Neurospora crassa OR74A: one gene and its partners. The main gene of each other region encodes a partner of the protein of the gene in region 4 in a complex. Links are inferred from orthologs where the notes say so. Each region holds a gene or a part of one and is shown on either strand. Other genes may lie near its edges.

Evidence for each region.
Region 1: NCU06854 (region 4) and arp-4 share a complex: the UniProt entries of both Saccharomyces cerevisiae proteins name them as parts of the SWR1 chromatin remodeling complex. The link is inferred for Neurospora crassa OR74A from reciprocal best matches to the Saccharomyces cerevisiae genes RVB2 and ARP4.
Region 2: NCU06854 (region 4) and NCU05587 share a complex: the UniProt entries of both Saccharomyces cerevisiae proteins name them as parts of the SWR1 chromatin remodeling complex. The link is inferred for Neurospora crassa OR74A from reciprocal best matches to the Saccharomyces cerevisiae genes RVB2 and ARP6.
Region 3: NCU06854 (region 4) and NCU06491 share a complex: the UniProt entries of both Saccharomyces cerevisiae proteins name them as parts of the SWR1 chromatin remodeling complex. The link is inferred for Neurospora crassa OR74A from reciprocal best matches to the Saccharomyces cerevisiae genes RVB2 and SWC5.
Region 5: NCU06854 (region 4) and NCU00444 share a complex: the UniProt entries of both Saccharomyces cerevisiae proteins name them as parts of the chromatin-remodeling INO80 complex. The link is inferred for Neurospora crassa OR74A from reciprocal best matches to the Saccharomyces cerevisiae genes RVB2 and TAF14.

The regions. Positions count from the first base shown.
Region 1 is NC_026501.1:2,713,203-2,717,752, reverse strand, and holds the start of arp-4 (actin), read left to right. Parts: upstream 1-1,421; 5' UTR 1,422-1,590; coding exon 1,591-1,648; intron 1,649-1,729; coding exon 1,730-3,081; 3' UTR 3,082-3,539; coding exon of another isoform or gene 3,540-4,550. Other genes in the region: NCU16367 (hypothetical protein), read left to right, coding at 1-940; NCU02554 (golgi complex component), read right to left, coding at 3,540-4,550. UniProt on the Saccharomyces cerevisiae protein: Chromatin interaction component of the NuA4 histone acetyltransferase complex which is involved in transcriptional activation of selected genes principally by acetylation of nucleosomal histone H4 and H2A. The NuA4 complex is also involved in DNA repair.
Region 2 is NC_026506.1:1,416,651-1,421,072, forward strand, and holds the start of NCU05587 (actin-like protein arp-6), read left to right. Parts: upstream 1-1,273; 5' UTR 1,274-1,372; coding exon 1,373-1,820; intron 1,821-1,874; coding exon 1,875-2,767; 3' UTR 2,768-3,190; exon of another isoform or gene 3,191-3,242; 3' UTR 3,243-3,382; coding exon of another isoform or gene 3,383-4,422. Other genes in the region: NCU05588 (topoisomerase TRF4), read right to left, coding at 1-679; NCU05586 (malate/L-lactate dehydrogenase), read right to left, coding at 3,383-4,422. UniProt on the Saccharomyces cerevisiae protein: Component of the SWR1 complex which mediates the ATP-dependent exchange of histone H2A for the H2A variant HZT1 leading to transcriptional regulation of selected genes by chromatin remodeling. Involved in chromosome stability.
Region 3 is NC_026503.1:1,608,017-1,612,130, forward strand, and holds NCU06491 (SWR1-complex protein 5), read left to right. Parts: upstream 1-1,551; 5' UTR 1,552-1,971; coding exon 1,972-2,303; intron 2,304-2,361; coding exon 2,362-3,058; 3' UTR 3,059-3,419; downstream 3,420-4,114. Other genes in the region: NCU06490 (hypothetical protein), read right to left, coding at 145-1,060, 1,120-1,214. UniProt on the Saccharomyces cerevisiae protein: Component of the SWR1 complex which mediates the ATP-dependent exchange of histone H2A for the H2A variant HZT1 leading to transcriptional regulation of selected genes by chromatin remodeling. Involved in chromosome stability.
Region 4 is NC_026502.1:1,745,680-1,750,020, forward strand, and holds NCU06854 (RuvB-like helicase 2), read right to left. Parts: upstream 3,136-4,341; 5' UTR 2,907-3,135; coding exon 2,898-2,906; intron 2,822-2,897; coding exon 2,595-2,821; intron 2,520-2,594; coding exon 1,310-2,519; 3' UTR 922-1,309; downstream 1-921. Other genes in the region: NCU06855 (hypothetical protein), read left to right, coding at 1-921. UniProt on the Saccharomyces cerevisiae protein: DNA helicase which participates in several chromatin remodeling complexes, including the SWR1 and the INO80 complexes.
Region 5 is NC_026503.1:3,880,146-3,884,556, reverse strand, and holds NCU00444 (transcription initiation factor TFIID subunit 14), read right to left. Parts: upstream 2,968-4,411; 5' UTR 2,137-2,967; coding exon 2,125-2,136; intron 1,943-2,124; coding exon 1,759-1,942; intron 1,668-1,758; coding exon 1,275-1,667; intron 1,203-1,274; coding exon 1,135-1,202; intron 1,062-1,134; coding exon 1,038-1,061; 3' UTR 18-1,037; downstream 1-17. Other genes in the region: NCU00443 (ran-specific GTPase-activating protein 1), read right to left, coding at 3,994-4,250, 4,318-4,411. UniProt on the Saccharomyces cerevisiae protein: Functions as a component of the DNA-binding general transcription factor complex TFIID, the RNA polymerase II associated general transcription factor complex TFIIF, and the chromatin-remodeling complex SWI/SNF.

The DNA of each region.
Region 1 (4,550 bases), on a different chromosome or scaffold from region 4:
CACGATGCTGTCCCACCCTTCAGAAGAAGACAACCACGATGATGGCTCGATATCCGGAGACGAGGATTCTTACGACGAGGATGACATCTCGGACGACGACGGCGACGACGAGCACCTCGCGCCCCCACCGCCCGTCTCGCAACATACCTTCGCCCCTCCCTTCTACGGTCGCCCACCGACCCCTCTCCCACCCTCCCCCTCTTTAACCTCCCTGCTGCGCCCCTCGCGTCCCACTACCCCGGACGCCTCCGACGACGAGACAGTAGCCAACGGCGGCGGTGGGGGTCCAGAGGGCAGCAACGAGCCCCTCCCGCGCGCCAGCCCCCGCGTACCCACGTACGAGTACTACGGCTTCGTCCTCTACCTCTTCAGCAGCCTGTCGTTTTTGATCTACCTACTGTGGGCCTACCTGCCTTCACCGTTCCTGCATGCGTTGGGCATCTACTACTACCCCAACCGGTGGTGGTCGCTGGCCATTCCGAGTTTCCTGACAATGACGCTGGTGTACATCTACGTGGCGCTGGCGGCTTACAATACCGAGTACCTCACACTGCCGTTGGGATCGATTGAGACGATTGTGGATGAGGCGGCGCAGGTGGCGGTGGTGGATGGGAAGGGCCAAATCATTAGGCATGATAAGAAATGTGGCATCAAGGAGGAGAAGAGACAGTATGGGCATGGCTATGGACATGGGAGGCATGGGTCGACGGATAGGGAGGTGCTCTTACCTGGGGGAGGATTGAATTGGAGGGAGGTCTGGAATGAAGGGACGGATGCGGTGATGGATGTGCCACTGGCGGGAGTTTGTGAGGTTTTGTATGGAGAGGGGAGGGAGAAAGGGGTGGAGAGTGAGGAGGATGAGGAGGACTATGAAGGAAAGGGGATGTTGCATAGTCCTGGGAATGGACTGGATGGCTCGAGAGTTGGTCGATGGAGTTAACACAGGTTATGAAGGTCCTGAGACAGGATAGACACCTGATCTCTGCTGTATTGTTGTTTTGTCCATTGTGAAATATGATACCCATTTGTTCTTTTTGGGGGTGGCATAATGCTCTGGGTGAATCCGTTGTCGGTATCGTATACAGCTGAGAGTTCTACTTCCCATGGATGTCGTAACTTTGACTTCTAGGACTTCTAGCGAGTTCGTGGGCTCTGGATCAGCAACGACAGGCCAGCGACAATCTTTGAGGAGTTTAACCAAAGCTAACTGCTCATGTGCGTCTTACTTCTCTTCAAGCTTAAAAGACCTATCAACAAGTTAACAGAGCTCTTGACAGGTTCGTTGGATTGCTATTTCCATTTTCTGTCCCTGATGCCCTATTACCGTAGAGGTACGTACCGCGCCCCACTTTTATGTAGCTGGAGGAGAGCCTGTCCGGCCTTTTACTGGTATTCACGCGCGCGCGCCCCTCGTCTTTGAAGCTCCGTTGTCAAATTCCATTTGATTTCCAGTTCATCGAACTTCAACGGAACGCGACGGGACCGAGCTATTAGACGCGCAGCGCTGTTTGGAGATCCCCGCTCACACCACTTCTTGCCCTCCGATAATACACCTCAGCGATTTTCCATTATACAGCGTCGGTGCCTAACATGTCCCACCAACAACCTCTCTCGTCGTCGGTCCAGCCGACTGACATCTATGGCGGAGGTAAGCCTAGTCCAAACGCCTCTGACCAGCGACATTGCCCAAGCTTCAAGGCTTGCAATTGACGGCTGATTATTTCCTTAGATGAGGTATCCGCGCTTGTTCTCGATCCGGGCTACTGCAACACTCGCGCCGGCTATGCTGGCGAGGAAATGCCCAAGCAAGTTCTCCCTTCTTTTTACGGCCACATCAATGGGCGTGACGTATTCGGCGACGAGTATATCGTGCCAAAACCGGGCTTCGAAGTGCGCAACTACATGAACCGCGACAGCGTTGTCGAAGATTGGGATGCTGCCACCAGGATGTGGGAACATGTTCTCGTCAAGCGTTTGCAGCCCGAGCGATCAACACCTCCCAGCAAAAAGGGTATCAACATTAGTGACGATGGCGATGTGCCCATGGAAGACGATGGAAACAACAACGAGGATGCTACGGACGCGCTGGAGAAGCCACTGGCCGAGAACCCTCTTCTTATGACCGAAGCGCCGTGGAACTCGCCCAAGGCGCGCGAGAAGGCCATCGAAATCAGCATGGAGACTTGGGGCGTGCCCGCATTCTGGCTTAGCAAGACACCTGTGCTCGCAGCATTTGCGGCCGGAAAGGCCACGGCTCTGGTAATAGACGTGGGCGGTGCCAACACGAGTGTCACGGCCATCCACGACGGCATGGTCCTCAAGCGATCGATTCAAAGGTCTCCGGTGGGCGGTGTTTGGCTGAGCAGCCAGATCTGCAAGATGTGGGACGGTAGTGAGCCCAAGGTCGACGTTGTGCCGCGGTTCATGGTCGAGAGTAAGAAGCCCGTGGAGGCCGGTGCGCCTGCCGAAGCCAACCTGCGAAAGTTTAACTTCGACATCCACCCGTCCTTCCGCGCTTACGAGGAAGAGCGTGTTCTCACCGAGTTCAAGGAGTCTGTTGTCGAGGTGTGGCGTGGTCCCCAGCGGTTCACGACCCCCGGAAACGAAGATGCTGTCCGTACACAACCCGGCCGGGTCTTCGAGATGCCCGACGGCAGCAATCAGATGTGGCGTGAGCAGCGCTTCAAGGTGTCGGAGGGCATGTGGGACGAGACGGCTGCCTATAACAGCACTGACGAGGAAGGACGTGTTACTAAGGCTCAGACGATCCCGGCTCTCATCAAGGCGGCCCTCGAGGGTGTTGATGTTGATCTCCGCCCCAACATCCTCGGCAACGTTGTTGTCACGGGTAGTACAAGCTTGTTGAACGGTTTCAACGACCGTCTCAACCACGAGCTCGCGCAAATGTACCCCGGTGTGAAGATCAAGATCCATGCGGCGGGTTTGACGACCGAGAGACGCTTCGGTGCTTGGATCGGAGGAAGCATTCTCGCCAGTCTCGGAACCTTCCACCAAATGTGGATTTCGCGAAAGGAATATGATGAGAACGGCGCGGGCATTGTCGAGAAGCGCTGCAAGTAGGATTTCACTTTGTCAATTGCAGAAAAAGAAAGTTGTCGAGGCATGAAGTGGAAAACCCTCCCACGCCGCGCTATGGAAATGGCGGGAGGCTACAAAACATCGGATTCCAAGTCAGGCCACAATGGTTGATGCCTAAAGTGCTCACACATTCATGGAGTTTGTGTGGGGTGGAGTGTGGTGGTCATATAAGATGGGCATGATATTTTCTACGTCGCTAATTATCAGGCAGGTGTATGTTATGGTCGCACGATATGGCGCGGAGGCGTTCCGGAGAAATGGATTTTCAATGCTTTCAGCTTATGAAAGATACACGCCAACCATTGCCTGTATTGCCAGTTTTGACTTTAATCACGGCTAGATCCCAGAGCTTCAACTGTCTCCAAGTAGTTCATTCACCGTAAAGCTTCTACGTACAAAGTGTAATTTCTTCTAGACAATCCATAATCCTCTCATCAGTCCTACCTGTCAATGGGGCAGCTATACTCTCTCTTCGTTCCAAAACTAGCTCCTTTGGAAACCGCGCCCCCATGTTTCATCTCAAGAGCGTCCAGGCATGCTTGATGGTAGATGTGTCTGCAGGCCAGCACAACCAGAGGGCTAAGCTTCTGTTCCCGGTTTGCCACTATTGGCCCTTGCACGCCTTCATGTCCAGAAGTGTTTGCTTGCTGGTTCGGGTCGTTCATTGACTCCCCTTGCTGCTTCAATTGCGGGCTCACAGCCTTTCCCTTGCCCTTCCCCTTTCCATCTCCATTTGCATTTCCATTATACTTCTCCCCACCCTGGGGCCCGTCCGTTGCCGGCCACGCATGATCCTTGCCCTTCCCCCGTTCAGTAGTAGCACTCGCCGCCTTGTTTTTGCTCATGGTGAGTTGCTTCCTCGCCTGGCGTTGACTCTCCTCAGCAGCCTGGCGATCTTCCCACGCTTCGTAGACATTACCCGCCACACCAGGACCCCAAACTCGCCGGCCGCAGGCCTCGCAGGTGGAGCCTTTAGGACGCCAACCTCGCTGGCGGAGTTGGACGGCTTGGCTTACACTCACAAAAAGACTGCGTTCCAAAAGCCGGTTTGAGAGGCTAAGGATGGATTCTTCGTATGCGTATGCGGCGAAGATACTGGAGAGAACTGAACGGAGATCTGCAAGGTTAGGCGACGACGCCGCGGCGCGAGTGAGGAACGCACGAAGAATACGGAGGAAGGATAGATTGGCGTTTATTGCTGGAGGTTGTATATCACCCGTGTCTGCTGCAGATCGAGAGGTACGGGTTGATGTGGATGAGAGGAGGGCTGTAAAGGTGTCTTGCACGAGCGATCGTGCCAAGGTGACAAGCTTTTCTGTCTCTAATGACATATGGAATGGTTCACTGTTGGGGTTAGAATCGCCGTTCATAAGCTGTGCTTGTGCTGAATCATCTGGGGGTGGTAGCTGCAAGGCTGAAGTAGCCCGCTTGGTGATCTGTACACAGCTCTC
Region 2 (4,422 bases), on a different chromosome or scaffold from region 4:
GGTCGGGGTTGGACCACTTGGGGGTGTTGTTGGCGCTGGTCGACTGATCAAGCGCAGTGCGAGCACGCTTGGTCGACGGCTCGGCATCTTCAGCAGCCTCATCTCCAGAGATGTCCATCTCGGCCTCATCACTGTCGGACAGTTCGTCGACATTCCGGTAGAGCACGCCCGTCTCGGGATTGTAGAGGGCCTCTTCATTTCCAGACTCATGGGTACCGCTCAATAGCTCGCGCTCAGCCGCAACAAAAGGACGCCACGGTTTCCTAAAACCTCCGTGGGGGCCAGCGTTGCGGCCTCGTCCACGGCCACTGGGTCTTCCGTGGCGACGATCGCCTCTGGGAGAGTGGGCTCTGCGGCCATTGTAGGACTGCCTGTTGTCGTTGGGACGGTAGTTGTCGTAGCTCGAATTGCTGACTCCCGGCGGCTTCTCTACTCTAAACGAGAAATCACCCTGAGGAGGCCGGTAATTGTCGCGATCTCTTCCACCGCCACCGCCACCGTTGTTGCGGTTGGAGTAGTTGTCGGAGGGACGGTACGATGTCGGCTGGGGAGGTCGGGCAGGGAGACCATGAGGGCCATTCGGCGCGCGTTGTTGATAGCCATTGCGGTCGTCCCGAGGGTCGTTACCACGACGTCGACCGCCGCCGCCGCCACCGCCGTTCTGGTATCGTTGTGACATGCTAAAACTAGCAGTTATGGGTTTATGCGATACTGACCACGATAAAGCGCATCGAGTGAGTGCTCGGTATCGGAGCACAAGAGGATGAGGTTGATTCCACAAGGGGGGCAAAATACGCTGAGAGGTGGAAATGTTCACCTTGTCATTTAATTTTTTTTTAAAAGTCAGAGGTAAAAGTTGAGTGGGGCAACATTGATGGGATTTGTAGTGGTCGGGTTGCAGAGTTCAGTTGCCGTGACGGGAGCGGGAGTGTGCTCTCAACAGTGGAAGTGAAGTGATGGATGACGGAAGGCAGGGCTGCCCGGTCCCAGTCGAGATTTCCACAAGGCCCTAGGCTGCGCTGTGTGTGTGTGTCTCCGGTGTGTTGTGCCCGCTGCCGCAGTGGCAGGCGCCGGCAGGTTCCGTTCTCACTCTCCGGCGCTGTCAGGTCAGCGAGTCTTTAGTGTACACTTGCGGCGGCGGAAATGATGAAATGCCAAGCAAGAGAACCCCAGCCCGTCGAGGTCCGGGTGGCACTGACAACCCTTATCGTTCCCCTTATCAGCAGGTCCCGTCGTCGATGCAAGTGGAAACCCAAACAATTGACGGTTCTTGCGACAACAACCGCGACGCGACTCTCCCACGCACTTCAAGCTACGAGGGCCGGGGCGCGAGAGGGATTCAATTGTCAGCAGCTGTTGTTTCAGTACTGTCATGACCGGACGAGGAGGGGCTAAAAAGTCCCGGGCGGCAGGGCCGGCACCCCCCACGACAACCCTGGTTCTCGACAACGGCGCCGACACCATCAAGGCTGGATTCGTCTCCGATGACAAGAGCGACGGCAAGCCTCGCATCATTCCGAATTGCCTCGCTCGAGACCGTCACAGGAAGATCTATGTCGGCTCGGAACTCGAAAAATGCAAGGACTTCAGCGAATTGGCCTTCAGGCGCCCCGTCGAAAAGGGCTTTATCGTCAACTGGGAGGCCCAGAAAGAGATCTGGGATCGCGAGTTCTTCGACGATAAAGCTGCGCAGAAATGCGACCCATCAGACACCAGGCTCATTCTCACAGAGCAACCAAATTCATTGCCTTCTCTCCAAACACACTGTGACCAGATCGTCTTTGAGGAGTATGGCTTTGCGAGTTACTACCGTGGCCTGGGTATGTCGCCTCCTAGAGAGCTGTTAGGGAAAGGGTGCTGACCTTGTTTTCTAGGTCCTGTCTTCAACGCGTACCGGGACATACAATCCATCTTCCGAACACCCCAATCCACCATAGACAGTCCAGCCCAAGTCATCCTGCTCATCGACTCGGGTTACTCTCACACCACCGTTACGCCTATCCTCCAAGGCCGACCGCTACATCCGGCCATACGAAGACTTGATGTGGGTGGCAAGCTCATGACCAATTATCTCACCAGGTTACTGTCCGTCCGCCACTTCGACATGCGCAACGAACCATACATTGTGAACGAGATGAAAGAAGCAGTCTGTTACACCTCCCTGGACTTCAAGGGAGACCTGGAAAAGACTTGGAAAGGGACGCGCGGCGAAAAGAGGGAGGACTACTTGAGCGGTGCTGGCATCGCCAAAGACTACGTTCTGCCCGACTCCCACACGCGCTTCCACGGTGTTGTCCGCGACTACGAGCCTGGTGTCTCGGCGCGCGCCCGCAAGGGCATTGTATCCACAGAGGACGTCCTGACGCTACGGAACGAGCGTTTTGTTGTTCCAGAGCTCCTCTTCAACCCTTCTGATATCGGCATCCGGCAACCTGGCATCGCCGACCTAGTCAAGCAGTCCCTCTTGGCTGTGCCAATTGGACTGTGGCCTGGCCTTCTGGCTAATATCGTAGTTGTGGGAGGAAACAGTCTCTCTGAAGGGTTCTGTCAGCGCTTGCAAACAGAGATTCTCAAGCGATTCCCCGATGAATGCAGGGTCAGAGTTGCCCGCCCGGAAGACCCTATCATCAGCACCTGGTTGGGAGCTGCCAATTTCGCCAAGCATGAACATGCCAGTAAGCTCGAGGTCACCAAGCAAGAGTATGAGGAACATGGAGCTGCTTGGGTGGCAAGAAAATTTGCTGCTGGGCTCGGACTCGACCCCTGAGCATTTGCTTGGAGTCTATTATTGCCATTTTTGAAGCTTTCCAGGGTTCATTAGCCCATAAAGCGATTGCCAAGCGGCTCCCTATGCTGCTTGATTGAGTGCCCGGCTGGATACTACCCAGACAAAAATGAGCAGGGTGGGCTAGTACGCTTTGCTTCTTGCCTGTCTCTGGACGTTGAGTGCCATACACTCTGTCTGAAAAGCGCCGTTCAATCCGAAACCCTGCCGTGCCATGCCAGAACACCAAGACTCTGTCTCGATGGGCTGGGTGTATAGACTGGGTGTTGATCTTGATTGAGATGCACTGGGGCAAAACCGCGCAACTGATCTCAGCTACCTACAGCTCTACACGGAAAAGCAGGTATCAGAGTTTCTGAGGGCGAGCTACTTGCCACCCTTGTGATACCCATGATGCTGCCTTTGGTAAAGTTTTCAAAATGGTTTGAAAAAAGGATCAACGCTAACCCTCGGAAAGAGACCAAATCACACCATCGTCCTCATCAGTGGTTTGTTGTGATCGCCTGCAGCTTCTTTATTTTAAACAAACTTGGCTCAGACGAAGAATTTGGCCCATTTCACCTCCAAAGGTGCAAATAACCCAATATATATGAAGCTCTACTCTATCAATCGGATCTTGCCCAAGCCTAGCTTTTCAGCCTCTGCATTCAGAGCATCAATCTCTGCCTTGGCATATGGTATGCCATCTTTCAATCTCTGCTCCTCGTTCAGCTGCTCAATCTCGCCCGGGAAGTAAATTCTGTCGACGCCATGCATCTTCTCCGAGTTCACCGCTTTCTGGTATAGGATATCCATGCGTTCCCTGAACTCGTCCAGGCTCATGAACAAGTCAGGCTTGATGGCCACGAAGAAGTGGCCAACGTCCCCCGGCTTGGACATATCATACGGCCCCGTGACGCCTCCAGCAAACGCAGAACCCGAAAGCACGCCGGAGAAGACATCCATCATGATCGCCAGCGCCGACCCCTTTGGCCCACCCATAGGCAGCATCACGCCTTCCAGCGCCTTGGCCGGATCATCAGTTTGCTTGCCCTCCCCATCCAAAGCCCAGTCAGTCGGTATCTTCTCTCCCCTCCTCAGCGCCTTATAGATCTTGCCCCTCGCTGCGACCGACGGGGCCATGTCCAAGATGAACGGCTTCGACCCCTCGCCCTTCCCACCCGGCGCTCCACAGGCGATGGGGCTTACACCCATCATCTTCTCCTTGGAACCCCACACGGGCAGCGCAGGCGACGAATTGGTAAAAACCAGACTCATCATGTCCGCATCCACCGCTTGCTTCACAATCCAAGCGGACATGCCAAAATGATTGCTATGCTTGACGCTTACCATTCCAATGCCATAGACGCCCGCCATTTTGATGGCGGTGTCCATGCCCAGGTGCGCGGCGGGGAAGCCGAATCCGTTCCTCGCGTCTATTTGGGCGACTACGGGCGTGATCTGCTTTAGTTCCGGCTCGGCGGCTGGGTCCAAAACCCCGCTACGCACGCGTGAGAGGTAGGATGGCAATCGCAGGATGCCGTGGCTTTCAACGCCGCGCAGGTCAGCTTGGACGAGCCCAGAGGCGGTAATTTCGGCGTTCTTGGCGGACACGCCGGAGGCCGTTAAAAGGGCGGCCGCAAAGGTTTTGGCATCGT
Region 3 (4,114 bases), on a different chromosome or scaffold from region 4:
CTTGCAAATTGAAAGATAAATTGCCGGCCATTGAGGTTCTTTTTTGCAGTTTCATCATCCCATATCTCCAACTTCTTTATGTTGACTTTGACATAAGCTGTCCTACTAGAAAATCGTACAATAACGCACAACGTCCGCAAAATATCATGCCGCCGCCTGTACACCCTGTGATGCTCCCGGGCCGGCCGCCTTCTTCAAAGCCTCCAACCTCGCCAGCTCCTCCTGCTTCATCCTCTCCTGGATCCTGACTCTCTCCGGGACAATCTGTTCTCTTGGCCTGGTAATCTTCCAGCCTTCCAGGCGGTCTTTTCCAAGAGCCCGCAACGTCACCTGCTCGACGAGTGAATAGTTGCCGTCCTCCCTATCAAAGTTGAACGGCTGCTTCAGCGCTACTGGCGGGTTGGTAATGATGCGGACGTTCCTCTTCGCGTTGCTGGAGGCCGAGTGCAGCATCAGCGGATGAAGTAAGTACACGTCTCCGACCTTGCCTGTTGCCTCGACAAACTGGGTGCAACCCTTGGCCGTGTTGTTGAACCAGTTGAGATGCTGCTCTTGCTTGAACTCGGCATCGCTGCGGGGTGCCATACGTGGCGAGACACCCTCGGGATGCTCGTACAGGTGTTTGGCGAGGATAGGGATTGCCTCCGGACAGATCATGGTCCCGCCGCCCTCGGGCATGATATCGGTGAAGAGAGGAATGACGAGCAGGCCCTGCTCCGGGCTGTCAAGGTAGTGGACGAAGAAGTCACCATCGACGTGCCAATTGTCCAGCTTTTGCGGGGGGACTGGTTTCCCTTCTTTCTGTGGTGTGCCCAGGTTGACGATAAGGGAGTCCTTCCACTTCTTCGACCAGTTCGCGATCTTATCCTCGCCGCCGCAAAGCTCGCTGATGGCTGCCCAGGCACGAGGGGCAAAGTCTGCAGCGTCGAACTCCATATGTGAGGGCATGTTGACACGTTCTTTGTTCCAGGTGGACTTGTCGTTTGGATCCATTCCTAGTCTCGTCCAAACATTGGCGATGATTTCCTGTGCTCTCTGCTGCGTGAAGGCAGCCGGGATCCTGGCATGGTCAGTACCTCGAACGAGGTTGAACAGCTGGTATGGTGGCATGACACCTACTTGACCCAGCCATGAGTGAGGAAGTGTTCCTTCTCTTCAAGACTCAGAGCAGATGACGACGACATGTTCAGTGTGATGTTGCCTTTGGGACACATCCTGTAGAAAGTAGCGTAAAGAACAAGGCTATAGACTGGAACGGGGCCGACAAGCTATCTCTACCCTTATATACTCTTTTCAAGATCCCGCCAGAAACTAACCCAGGCTAATCAATCCGACTGTCACGACAACTCCGGACTCCGAATGGAATGCCGCCTCACACTGCGCCACGAGGCAGCTAGGTAATCCATCCTTGCTCCGTAGGCGCCCTAGGCTACGTGTAACCGGCGGGGTGGTTTTTGGTTTAACCAGAAATACCCTATTGGATATCGCCAGGTTTATTGGAGAGTACGGCATCACCAGTTTTCCATTTTCGTGATAGCGGCCTTTCTGAACCTGAACATCATGTCCCAGTGGTGTGGTTGACAACATCCCGTCGTCAGGGGCAGATCCAGCTTGTCATCGGATGATAGTAACGGAACTCTAAAAAGGTTCCCGGTTGCGGGGCGTTTTCAGCGGGACATCAAGGAAGGTGTGGGCGTGATGCGGGGGAGCTTGAGCCGAACAGCGGCGACATGACGGCAAGCTGCCCTATTGGCTGCTAACAGAGCGTTTGTGTTTCCACTGTCACGCTGCAGTCGATCGGACAAAGACATGGATCCCGTCCTTGTTCCCTTCATCACTTTTCCACTTTAATATTCCGGCCCACGATACTTGGAAGAGGTACCATTCTTGGAACGACGACACACACGGCAACGAGAATTTTACGCGAATAGCTTGAGGAAGACCAGACTGTTATATTCGCGAGATACCAAGATGGCGCCAACACTAGAGCTTCTTGCAGAAGACTACGCGTCAGAGGAAGACTCCGACTTCGCCCCAGAAACTGCCGAAGCCGCGGGAGAATCATCAATATCCGACGATGACGACGAAGAAGCCGGTGAAGATGCCGAGAAAGCGAAACCCGAGAAGAGGAAACGCGCTGCCATCGAGGAGGCGGAAGACGCTGGTTATGACAATTCTGGAGATGAAGCTATAATAAAGAAGGGGGAGAAACGTCAAAAGAAAACAAAGACAAAACTTGCTGCCGACGATGAGGAAACTGGCGAGGGCGGTCTCATCAAGACGCGCAGCCAACGCGCTGTTGAGTATGTTCTCACATCAACCCTCTTCTCTTTGGGTCCTGGGCATTAACGACAATGGCAGAAAGGAGAAACGTTCAACAGCCGCCGCCAGCGGACCTGTTACAATCGACGTCGATGCCCTTTGGGCGCAAATGATCAGCGAGCCGGTCATACCACGAACAAGTACAGCGAAACCAGACGAAAGCGCCGATCCAGCGAACTGTGACATCGCGAAATCGTCATCCCAGCAGCCAGAAACAGCCAAGGCGAAAGATCCCGATTCCGACCTCATAAAGATCAAGAGAACCTACAACTTCGCCGGCAAAGTCCACACTGAAGAAAAGCTCGTTGCCCGCGATTCTGCCGAAGCAAAACTCTATCTCGCCTCTCTCGGAGAGAACGCTCCAGCGGACGGCGAAACAGCCGCCGAGGACGAGTCCTCCTCTGCCAAGCGCATGCCCCGAAAAGCTTTCCGGTCCGTCTTCGAGCCCATCACCGACGCCAACTCGGCGCATCGTTCCGACCTCAACCTGAGCATGGCCTCCCGCCTGCAGGCTCGCGAAGCCACGGGCAACAAGGCCAAGAAGCTCAACACGGTCGAGAAGAGCAAGATGGACTGGGCGGTGGCGGTCGACAAGATGGGCCTCAAAGACGAGCTCGAGCTGGCCGGCAAGTCCAAGGACTCGTTTGCGGCGAGGCAGGATTTCTTGGCCAGGAGCGAGATGCGCAGGGAGGAGGAGGCGAGGAGGGCGAGGATGGCGCAGGCGGGGAAGACGTGAGCGTGTCACGATCTCCAGTCAATCCATTGGTCGCTTGCCTATTATTGTTGTATGGATGGCGTCTCCCTTACCACTACAAGTTTGGAAGGACAGCACTATGCAACACCATTTCATTTCTTACGTTCGCCAAATAGAGATACCCCAGTTTTCAATATCGGAACTTTCCAACGCGTTGAAGACACCAAGCAAAACACGACTTGCATGAACTCAGGGTCACAGTCACATATCAATTCCTTGCAATTCCTGGTCACATTGCAAAGGAACATGCATTTCTCATCCAGAAATCATTTGGCAAGTTGTACCCATGCACCACGCTGTCTGACTCATGATCCCAACTTCTCAATGCAGTTATCATCAACCAATCATCAACTGGCGTGGTGGCGGAGTGGTCTAACGCGCAAGACTAGAAATCTTGTTCCTTCGGGAGCGTCTGTTCGAATCAGGCCCACGTCGAAGTGATTTTTTTTTCCAATTTCTTTTTTTTTTTTTGGACGATTTTATTGTTGAATGGCTCCATAACACCAGTCTGGGGTACCTAGCCACTGGCAGTGGATGCCGACGACAACGCTTTTTGGTCCTTTGTTCACAATGATTTCCCAATGTATCTTGGGAGCTTATTCGATTATTTGGGGGGTTGGTTTCCGCTGATTCAGTACTAGATCAACGACCTCTCCTCCAAGTTGAGAATGTCTAGAAACTCAACAACGGAAGATTATCTACGTCTGACTTCCTGTCTTCAACAGGTAGTTCAACCATCCAAGGTTGTTGGGTACCTCTACCTATGTACACACGCCTTAAAAGCCCTTTTGAGATCTGAAAATAACCTTGAAGGTAGACTTGCTTGAGAGGTTCTACCTTACCCCCCTTCTTACCGACCAGTAGTCGAAGCTGATGCTAATAAGAAGGGGAAAAAAAGGTAACTGAAGGATGGTAAAAGGTGGTAGCGGTGACTATCTACTTGGAGTAGGATTCAGGAGAGCGTCACTTAACTTCGAGTCACATCCTCCGGATGCGATAGCGATACCTGGCGATGGTGAGGATGGATGGGTGAATGGG
Region 4 (4,341 bases):
ATCAACATCAACCCCGCCGCCTCAGCCGAATCGGACGACGAAGACGAAGACGACGACGACGAAGAAGCCATAGCAGCCGCCATCGCCGAAGAGGGAGTAGACGAAGAGGTCGGCCTAGGCGGACTGAAGAAACATGCGCCCAAGATTGACGCCTTCAACATGCAAGCCGAGAATGAAGAGGGTGCCTTTGACGAGGCGGGCAACTACATCCGCAAAGCGGCCGACCAAAATGCCGTGCACGATAAGTGGCTGGAAGGCTTGTCCAAAAAGGAAATCAAAAAAGCGGCGTTGGCGCACGAGAAGCGCGAGGCGGAAAGGCGCGCGCAGGAGAGGGAAGATGACAAGATCGCCACTGGGGACTTGCTTAGAAACTTGATCCTGACGCTCGAAAAAGGGGAGACGGCGCTGGAGGCGCTGGCAAGACTTGGAAAAGATCAAACCAAGGGGCCCAAGAAGGTGCCCAAGTGGAAGCAAAAGAGGCAGGAAAGGAAACAGGGCATCGATTCGATGGACGTGGATGACAAGAAGGAGGAAGTGGAGGATCCGAAGCAGAAAAAGATCAGGGAGGCGATTGATGCCATTACTGAGGCGGCGGATAAGTTGTTGGGAAGGGATTATCCGGATATTTACGATAAGGAGAGGGAGTGGTTGGTGAGAGAGTATAGAGCAGAGACGGGCGAGACCTGGGTGGAGCCTACTGTTCCTGAAAAGGAGGAAGAGCAGCCATCGTCACTAAACGGACAACCCAAAATGTGGGAGTTTAGGTGGACAGATGGGAGAGACGGAGGAGGAAGCCAAGGGCCGTATGACGGGCCCACCATGAAGGCATGGCAGGATGCGGGATACTTCAAGGAGGCGGTTGAGTTCAGGCCGGTGGGCGGAGGGGAGGGGGAGTGGTCTAGGGTTGCAGCCTTCGTATGATCATCATGGTTAGGTTTTGTACGATTGTGTGTGATAGTATACCCCCGGTTCCAAGCGACGAGAGAATCAAAAGCCTTATCACCATGCTGGGAACTCCTCAGCAGCTGGTCGTCATTCGTCCCTACTATGCCCTTTCCTGCTACCCCACGCTTCGACTTTGATTCGATTCGTTGTATGATACAAACGGATATTTGCAGACTCCATGCCATCACCATAATCAGTAACATGACAAAAAACCACGACTAGGCACACATAAAGCTTAAGAAAACAGTGTTATCATAACAAAGACGCCTTTTTGATGAGCCATCCCAATTAAACGCCTAGACGAAACAAAATCATAACCCCAAGATTATTCATTAATCCTTGTAGCGCATTGTCCCATGACTGTTTAGCTGCTGGTATCCATGCTATCACCACCAGCCGCAGTAGCCGCTGGCTCTCCCGTAGCACCGCCATTGACACGGAAATCGACCACGCCATCACTGCCGATGAGCCTCTTCTCCGATTCCTGCACGAACTTGACGCTCCTGGCAGGATCGTAGAACAGCTTGAAGCTGCGCTGGACGTCCTCAACGCCGACCTGCTTGGCCTTCCTCTTGGCGCAGATTAGCTGCGACGTCGTGATGAGGTTGCTCGCATACCGGAGGCCGGCCTCGGCGCCGATCTTGGTGAGCAGGGCGAGCGCGTCGGGGGTAAGGTCGACTTCCTCCTCCTGAGCGCGAATCGTGAGAATCTGTCTGAGCTCGTCGGGCGTGTACGAGTGCGTGTTGATGATGGAAATGCGGTCGAGGAAGTCGAGCGGCAGGCCGTGGGGGCTCTTGTAGTCGGTGCCGCGGATCTTGGAGTGGCCCCGGTTGCTGGCCATGATGACGATGGGGGCCAGGTCGGACTCGAGTGCGCGGTTGATGTACGAGAAGCACTCGATGTCGAGCATGTGCACCTCGTCGATGAACAGAACACCGGGCACAATCTCGGCCTTGCCTTCTTCCTTCCACTCGGCCACCTTGGTGTTGATCTGGTCGCGGATCTCGCTGCGGATCTCGCCCGTGTCGCCCGAGAAGAGGGCGAGGAAGCCTTGGGTCCTCGAGTTGATGACGTCGATCTCGTGCAGCGTTACTGTGTGGACGACCTCCTTGCGCTTCTGTAGCTCGCCATCGGGGCATTGCAGGAACTTGGTGTCGACGCCCATGGCATCGTAGTCGCGCGACCTTGCGTACGATCGGCCCAGCTTGGTAATCTTTCCAGATGACTTGTCTATCGAGATAATGTCGCCGGCCATGACGCGCTCCTTGGTCATAGCATCGATCATCTTGCTGCCCATGTCGTAAATAGCTTCCATGTCGGTCGTCTTGATCGTAAGCTTGCCCTGCTTGGCGTGGCCGGTAACGCTCCGGTCGATCTGAATCTCCACCACCTCACCCTCCATGATCTCACTCTCTTCCTTGATCCTGACACCAATCGACTTGCGGAATGCTTGGGTGAGGGCCTCGGTCTTGGACATCTCTAGAGAGTAGATTTCGGAAGCGGCAAGGGTGGTGAAAGGGACGTCGGTGCCGAGGGACTGGGCCATACCCATGGCCAGAGCAGTCTTTCCCGTACTGTTGTTTTTCCATAGCTAGGTCAGTACACGAAACGGTATGCGCATGAGGACTGGCACAGCAAGACGAGCTAACCTGGGCGGACCGGCGATCAGCACAGCACGGCCGGCAATTTTCCCTTGCTTAATCATCTCAAGAACGACAGCAGCCGCCTTACGCGCCTTCTCCTGGCCGACAAGGCCTTGGGAGGCAACCCTGGGCTCGAGTGTATCGGCATCGACGCCCAACCCGCGGATGTGCGAGTGCGCTGCGATGAGGTTGAGACCCCGGAGGTCCTTACTCTCTCCGACGGTAACGACCTGCTATGGCATGGGCACAAGAGGTCAGCTGGTGTTCCGTCAAGGTATTGTGATGTTGGGGGGTAGGTGGGGAGCTTACAGCAGCCATATTGCCCACTGATTTGCAAGATATTAATATTGAATATGCCGATTGACGTTACAGAATTTTCCAAGAAAGGTCGCTTGGATTTGGGTATCACGGTGGGTGGGTGGTGATGGATTAGTTTGCAGGTGGATGCAGGGATGGTTTGGCAGTGAATGATGGAATGTGCTTGAAAAAGAGCGAGAAGTACGACGACGGAAGTTCAAAGCTGCAGTGCGCGTCGCCGCGCGCTGTGATGGAACTTTGCAGCGACTTCTCCAATTGCGTGCATGGGTAGACAGGCCGGGGCCTCCAGCGAGTGGTTTGTTACCGAGTTTACGTAACAATACGTCGACTTACACGCCACTGTGGCTGAGGATCCAAACGGTGACAGAGAAGGGCGGAGACTTGAAGGAACTGAAGACAGTCCTCGGACTTGTGCCGGCGGGTGGGACTGAACCTTCCCGGGCGCGGCCCTGGGGGTCCCACAAGGCCCCGGATTTTAGACCCACATCGGAATTCGATTGATTGAGCTGATCATCACAACACAAAGCCTCTTTGTCCAGCAGTCAATTTGGAAAGAGAACTAAGCAAGTCGGACGACCTGTTTATATACAGATGGAAGTTCTTTGAAAAGGCAACAGTGTTGGCAGGGGTTCGTGACTCGGATGCAAAAGGGAAGAAGATGCAAACATGCAAAATAAACATGGACGCAAGTAAGTAGTGTAGGTAGGTACGCTACTCACTGGGACCTGAAGCTAGAAGCGGCCCTCAGGGGATTCTTGGGTCAGGAGACTATATGTGAGGCATGCTGTCATCCTCCTCAACCCAGGCTAAGTGTAGAGGGACATAGGGTACCAATGCAGTGGATGTTTGATTGGAGCGAGAATGAAAGAGCTGAAGGAAATAGTAATACAACTTGAAGATATCAATAAGATAAATGTGACGTTCGGCCAGTCATACCTACATACTATGACTGGCCATTGAAGGGACAGAATGACAAGGGTCCGTAGCGCCTTCCTTGAGTGTACAGGAGAAGTTTTGTGACCTGGGAGTGGAAGAGCTGCAAATCTGCAACTCTGCTACCTTGGGCTCATTCATAGTAGTTCCCCAGAAATATTTAAACCAATTTCCCCACCCAAATGGCAGACACTTTCCTCTTTTTTTTTTTCCCCTCTCTCTTCTCCCTAGGACATCTTCGACGATTGTAAACCTGGCGTTCCGGAATGCATTCAGAACTATTAGTTCGACTGTCCATTTAGACAAGGAACAGAAAAATACATCAGCTTGTTGTATCTTTGTGCGGCAAGCCCTAGTCTGATCTCATTCCCGTCTGGAGGAGGTGCGGGGCCTCTTAAAACTTTGACTCTATCTACGCGTCTACCCGCATCGGTATCGCATTACAATCTTCAACCTACAATATTGAACATCGACACACATTTCAGGCTCAATTCCGACATTG
Region 5 (4,411 bases), on a different chromosome or scaffold from region 4:
GTCCACCCCGCACACACATTCTAGAAGCATTTTCTGTCTACAGACGACATATGTACCTAGCCATCATCTACGCATACAAAAACTTGCATTATATAACCGCCGCCGATAATATCGCCTACCGCAGTAGCTCCGGATATAAGCCAAGAGCTCATGCCTGAAAAAGATGGCTATCTGGCAGGGTGCTGGCAGATCTATAGCGCTCTAGTCCAGGCACAGGAGACACGGAGACTAAGGCGAACGGACAGTTACTGCTGCTCCATACCCTGAACTGTGTAAACTAAACCATACAGCATGTTCTCTGCTTCTAATACCGCCATACGACGAGCAACGTAGAGAGACCGTGATCGAGAACTAGGTACCGCCTACAACATAACCGCTTCTCTTTCCCTTCCGAATTCCATGGGCGTGGGATCTATTACATACCTCCTTTCTACCTCTTACCCATCCTTTCCCGAACCTTTCTTTCCAATAAACAGTCTCAAATTTCCCTATGACGATCCTACCTAGAGGGGCAAACCTTGCACATGATAAGGTTCAAGGTCCGCCCAAAGCACAAACTGATTAGCGATGCCACTCCCTTCCAGTGAAGAGCAGTCCTCACGAGCAGACACCACCAATCAAGGCAACGATCCCACCGGCAGAAAGGAAACGGTTCAACGGAACACACCCTAGACCATCGAATATCACGCAAAGAAAGAAATCTGGAAGATCAAATCAAGCACAAATTTTGTCAAGAGAAGCTCTTGAATCTTTCTCAATTTTTGCTTTTTGCGTATCCCACCATAACTCCATAAACGCCACGGTAATGCAGGAGCCGAAGAAGCCTAAGGCTACAATGGCATGATGGTGAAGGTGGTTGATGTTGATGTGGATGGAAGTGTCAAGGGATCAATAATAGTGAATAAAGAGGGTGGTGGTGTACTGGGTATGGTATGGTGCGCACTGCGATCTAGTAAGGAAGAATGTTCCCGTCCCTGATGACTTCGTAAATCGATGGCCATCGACTACTGTAGGTTACTTGGACCAAGGAAGTCGTACTATGAGACTACGTTGGCTTTGACCTGTGGTAATATTAGCGATTTAGCTACAGAAGGATCCGATTGAGGGGGCAAAAGAATGGGAAGAACAACTTACCAAGAACTCCCAGAGCATCTTCATGAGGTTGTCAGGAAGAGTGTAGAGATCCACCGAGAACTCGCCCGCTATAGACATGTCCAGTCAGCCATCAGCTCGTGTTGCCTCCAGGGGCCACACTCCCTAGCGGGCAAACTTACCATCGAGGTTGTTCTGGATGTACGTATTGTCATCCTTGTGATCGTGGATCATCTGAATGACCTGCAGGAGGTCATCCTCGCCCAGCTTCGTCAAGCCATCCGCCATACGCTCGATGTCGTAGGGCCGCTTCTTCTTGGAACCGCCGTCCACCGCCTTCTTCTGCTTGCGCTCCTCGTCCGAGGGCAAGGGACCCGTCTCTCTCAGGAGCTGCTGGAGCGCCTGAGATGGGTTACGGAAGGTGACGGTATGGATGTTTTCGTACTCTGATTGCTGGAAGTTCAGGTCGTGCGCGATCGAGATCTTGCCGCCTTTCTCGGTGGTGTACATATCGATGATCATCTCAAATTCACCCCAGCCCTCGTTGGTGCATTTGAAGGGAGGATCGTTGAAAGCTGAATTTGCGACGCGTTAGCCAACCTCTGGCTCTCGAGACACAACAGAGATGGGGAGAGGTGACCGGCGGCCGCTCCGGTGTCTACTTACTCTGGATAGGGTTCGCGAACGAAGGGTGAAGGTTGTAGGTCACCTTCGTGAAGCACCTGGCGGGCCTCTCCTTGCCATCTTGGTCGAGAATATAGAGCTCGACCGTCCACTCCTTCATGGGGTAGCCCTCCTGTGCCGCCGGCTTGTTGATATTGTGTTGTTCTGTGACAACCTTGATCTTGCGCTGTAGACAAATAAACCCACGTTAGCCGTCGAATCCATTTCCCGAACAACAGCTATCCCGGAACGTTCTCCTCCTAGGGCCTTTCCTTTCCCTGCCTCTGCACCTGTTCTGTATGCCGCTACAGTGGTCACCCTGTTTGCGCAAGCTACCAACCACACTGGACTGGGAATCCGGAAACTAACCTCGACGATCATCTTGTTTGCGCCTGGAACCCGCTTCGGATTCCTTCTAGTAGCTTTGGTTCGAGTATTCTTACTAGCACTACTGGGAACGTCCGACCGATCCTCAAGGCCCTCTGCTTCCCAGAAATTGGATGGATTCCCGCGGTTAGCTTTGTGTACTTCTCTTCACTTGCTCGTGTCCTAGTACTCGAACAGCACTCTTTTGACAATCGGCGTTCGGTCGGTGTCTCGAGTACAGGACAGTAGTAAGACAGTGGCGTTCGGGCTCTTGAGGAAGAGCAAGGATTCGAGGATGTACGACGTTGTTGTATCCGTTGGGCTGTCTGGCAATGGGCTCTATAGTGTTTGGTGTGTTGTATGTGTTGGTGTGTCGCAGATTCCGTCGCGCTGCTAGAGTTGGGCTTTGTAGCGGTAGAGAATAAGGTCGTCCGTTACGGAGGGGTAAAGGTACCGCGGCGGGCCGTGGCGTGCGGTTGGGAACCAGGGATAATGATGGGGATAACGTAGCTCTAAGGTGTATAGCGTACAAATTGGGATAGGCAAAAGTTGGATGGGAACGCGATCGTGATCGTGAAGAGGGGCTAAGGTTAAGAGCGTGTCTCCTCTCTGATGGCCTTGGGTTGAAAAATGCTCAAGGGAGTGTTCAAGCAAGGCAATGTGGGAAGGTTTTTACTGAGTTATGGTGCTGATGCGACTTGGATGGTTGGGAATTTGGGTCACTGTGCAATATATGTACACTCCGATGAAGTTGGTTCAAGCGGGACATACCTTCGTCATTCGCGAACGGAGGCGTCGCGGCGCCGCCATAGTCAAAACCGTAACCATGGCTGAAGTCGACCATTGTCCCGTCGCTAGCACTCAGTGAGGTACCGCTGTGCGTGCTGTGGCTGGTGCGCTGTGATGCAGTGAGCGTCAGCTCGCTTTGCCGGCATTCCTCTACCCCTCACCGTGGATGTAAGCAAGGTGAGCTCACCTAGGTGAACGAAGATATCACCACTCTAATCGAAATATCGCGATGATCGAGAAAGCAGAAGTCTTGGAAAGAAGTTGTCAAAGACGACGGTGATGCTGAAGTAGACCCTGAAATCTTGAAGTAAATTGCTCCAAGATGTGATTTTGCGTCGTCGGGAGAAGAGTAGTGAGAGACCGCTGGCGAAGAAGAGGATCGTCGTCAGCTCGCCGTAAGGTAGTCAAGAAGAGAAGAAACCTCCAAAACCGCAAAACAACCAGATTTTTTATACGGTCGTCGCCAGACCGCGTCACGGACGACTTGGCAAACGGAATTCAGTATTTGTGTTTCTTTCAAGACAGGCTCAGGTTTCCGTCAGCTAGCCAGTCCATCAGATTCGTCTCATGTTTTGGTGGACCATCGTGCTAAGCCGTCAGCCAGGTATGACGAGGCGAGGTTGTGTGTACAAGAACTTGATCAAAAACCCCCAAAGGCAATGCATCGGTGTGAAGGGTAGTGAGTTGTTCTATCTAAAACTGTTGGTTAAGCTAAAGGTTATTTAGATCCCTTAAGAGTAATCCCCATCCTCATCCTCCTTGCCAGCCATAGTTGCAAAAGGGCCGTCGCAGTATGTTACCAGTATATTGAAATCTCGTCAAACGCACACCTGAATAGTGCTTTCATGTCGGATACTTCAACCTTTTGTTCTCGCACACGCTGCCCATGTACCAGCTCTCTAGCCTAGGAATCATCATCGTCATAACTTCTGTAGCGGTCCTTTCATTCATTCCATCGCCCAGCCCATGGAGGTAGTAATGTCATCGTCCCCTCTAACACCTAGCAAAACGGAAAATAGAACGGGGTGGTTGAAAAACTTTCCCTAAAGCAACTTCAAATTCATGCAAAACTAGACCACACATCTACTCGGCCTTCTCGTCCTCGGAATCCTCCTCAGCCTCCTTCTTCTCGGCGGCCTCCTCGGCAGCCTTGAAGAGAGCCTCGTTGTCCTTCTGGGCCTTGATAAAGGCATCCTTGAAAGCGTTGGCGTTGTCGGAGTTGGCAAAGCGGATCGCGAGGGTGACGGCCTCGGGCTCACCCTCGGAAACATCGGCAGCGGCGTTCCACACCCAGCTGCGGTCGGAACCAACGTTGGGGGAAAGCTTCATCTCAGGAACGACTAGTAGAATCGTATGGTTAGCAAGCTTCATTCAAGAACAGCTTCAATAGAGTAGGGTGTTGCTTACTGTAGTGGTTGGCGCAGACCTTGAGGGTCTTGTCGCGGCGCATGACGAGACGGGTCTTGCCATTCTCGTGGTGCTTGAGGAGACGGACGTCACC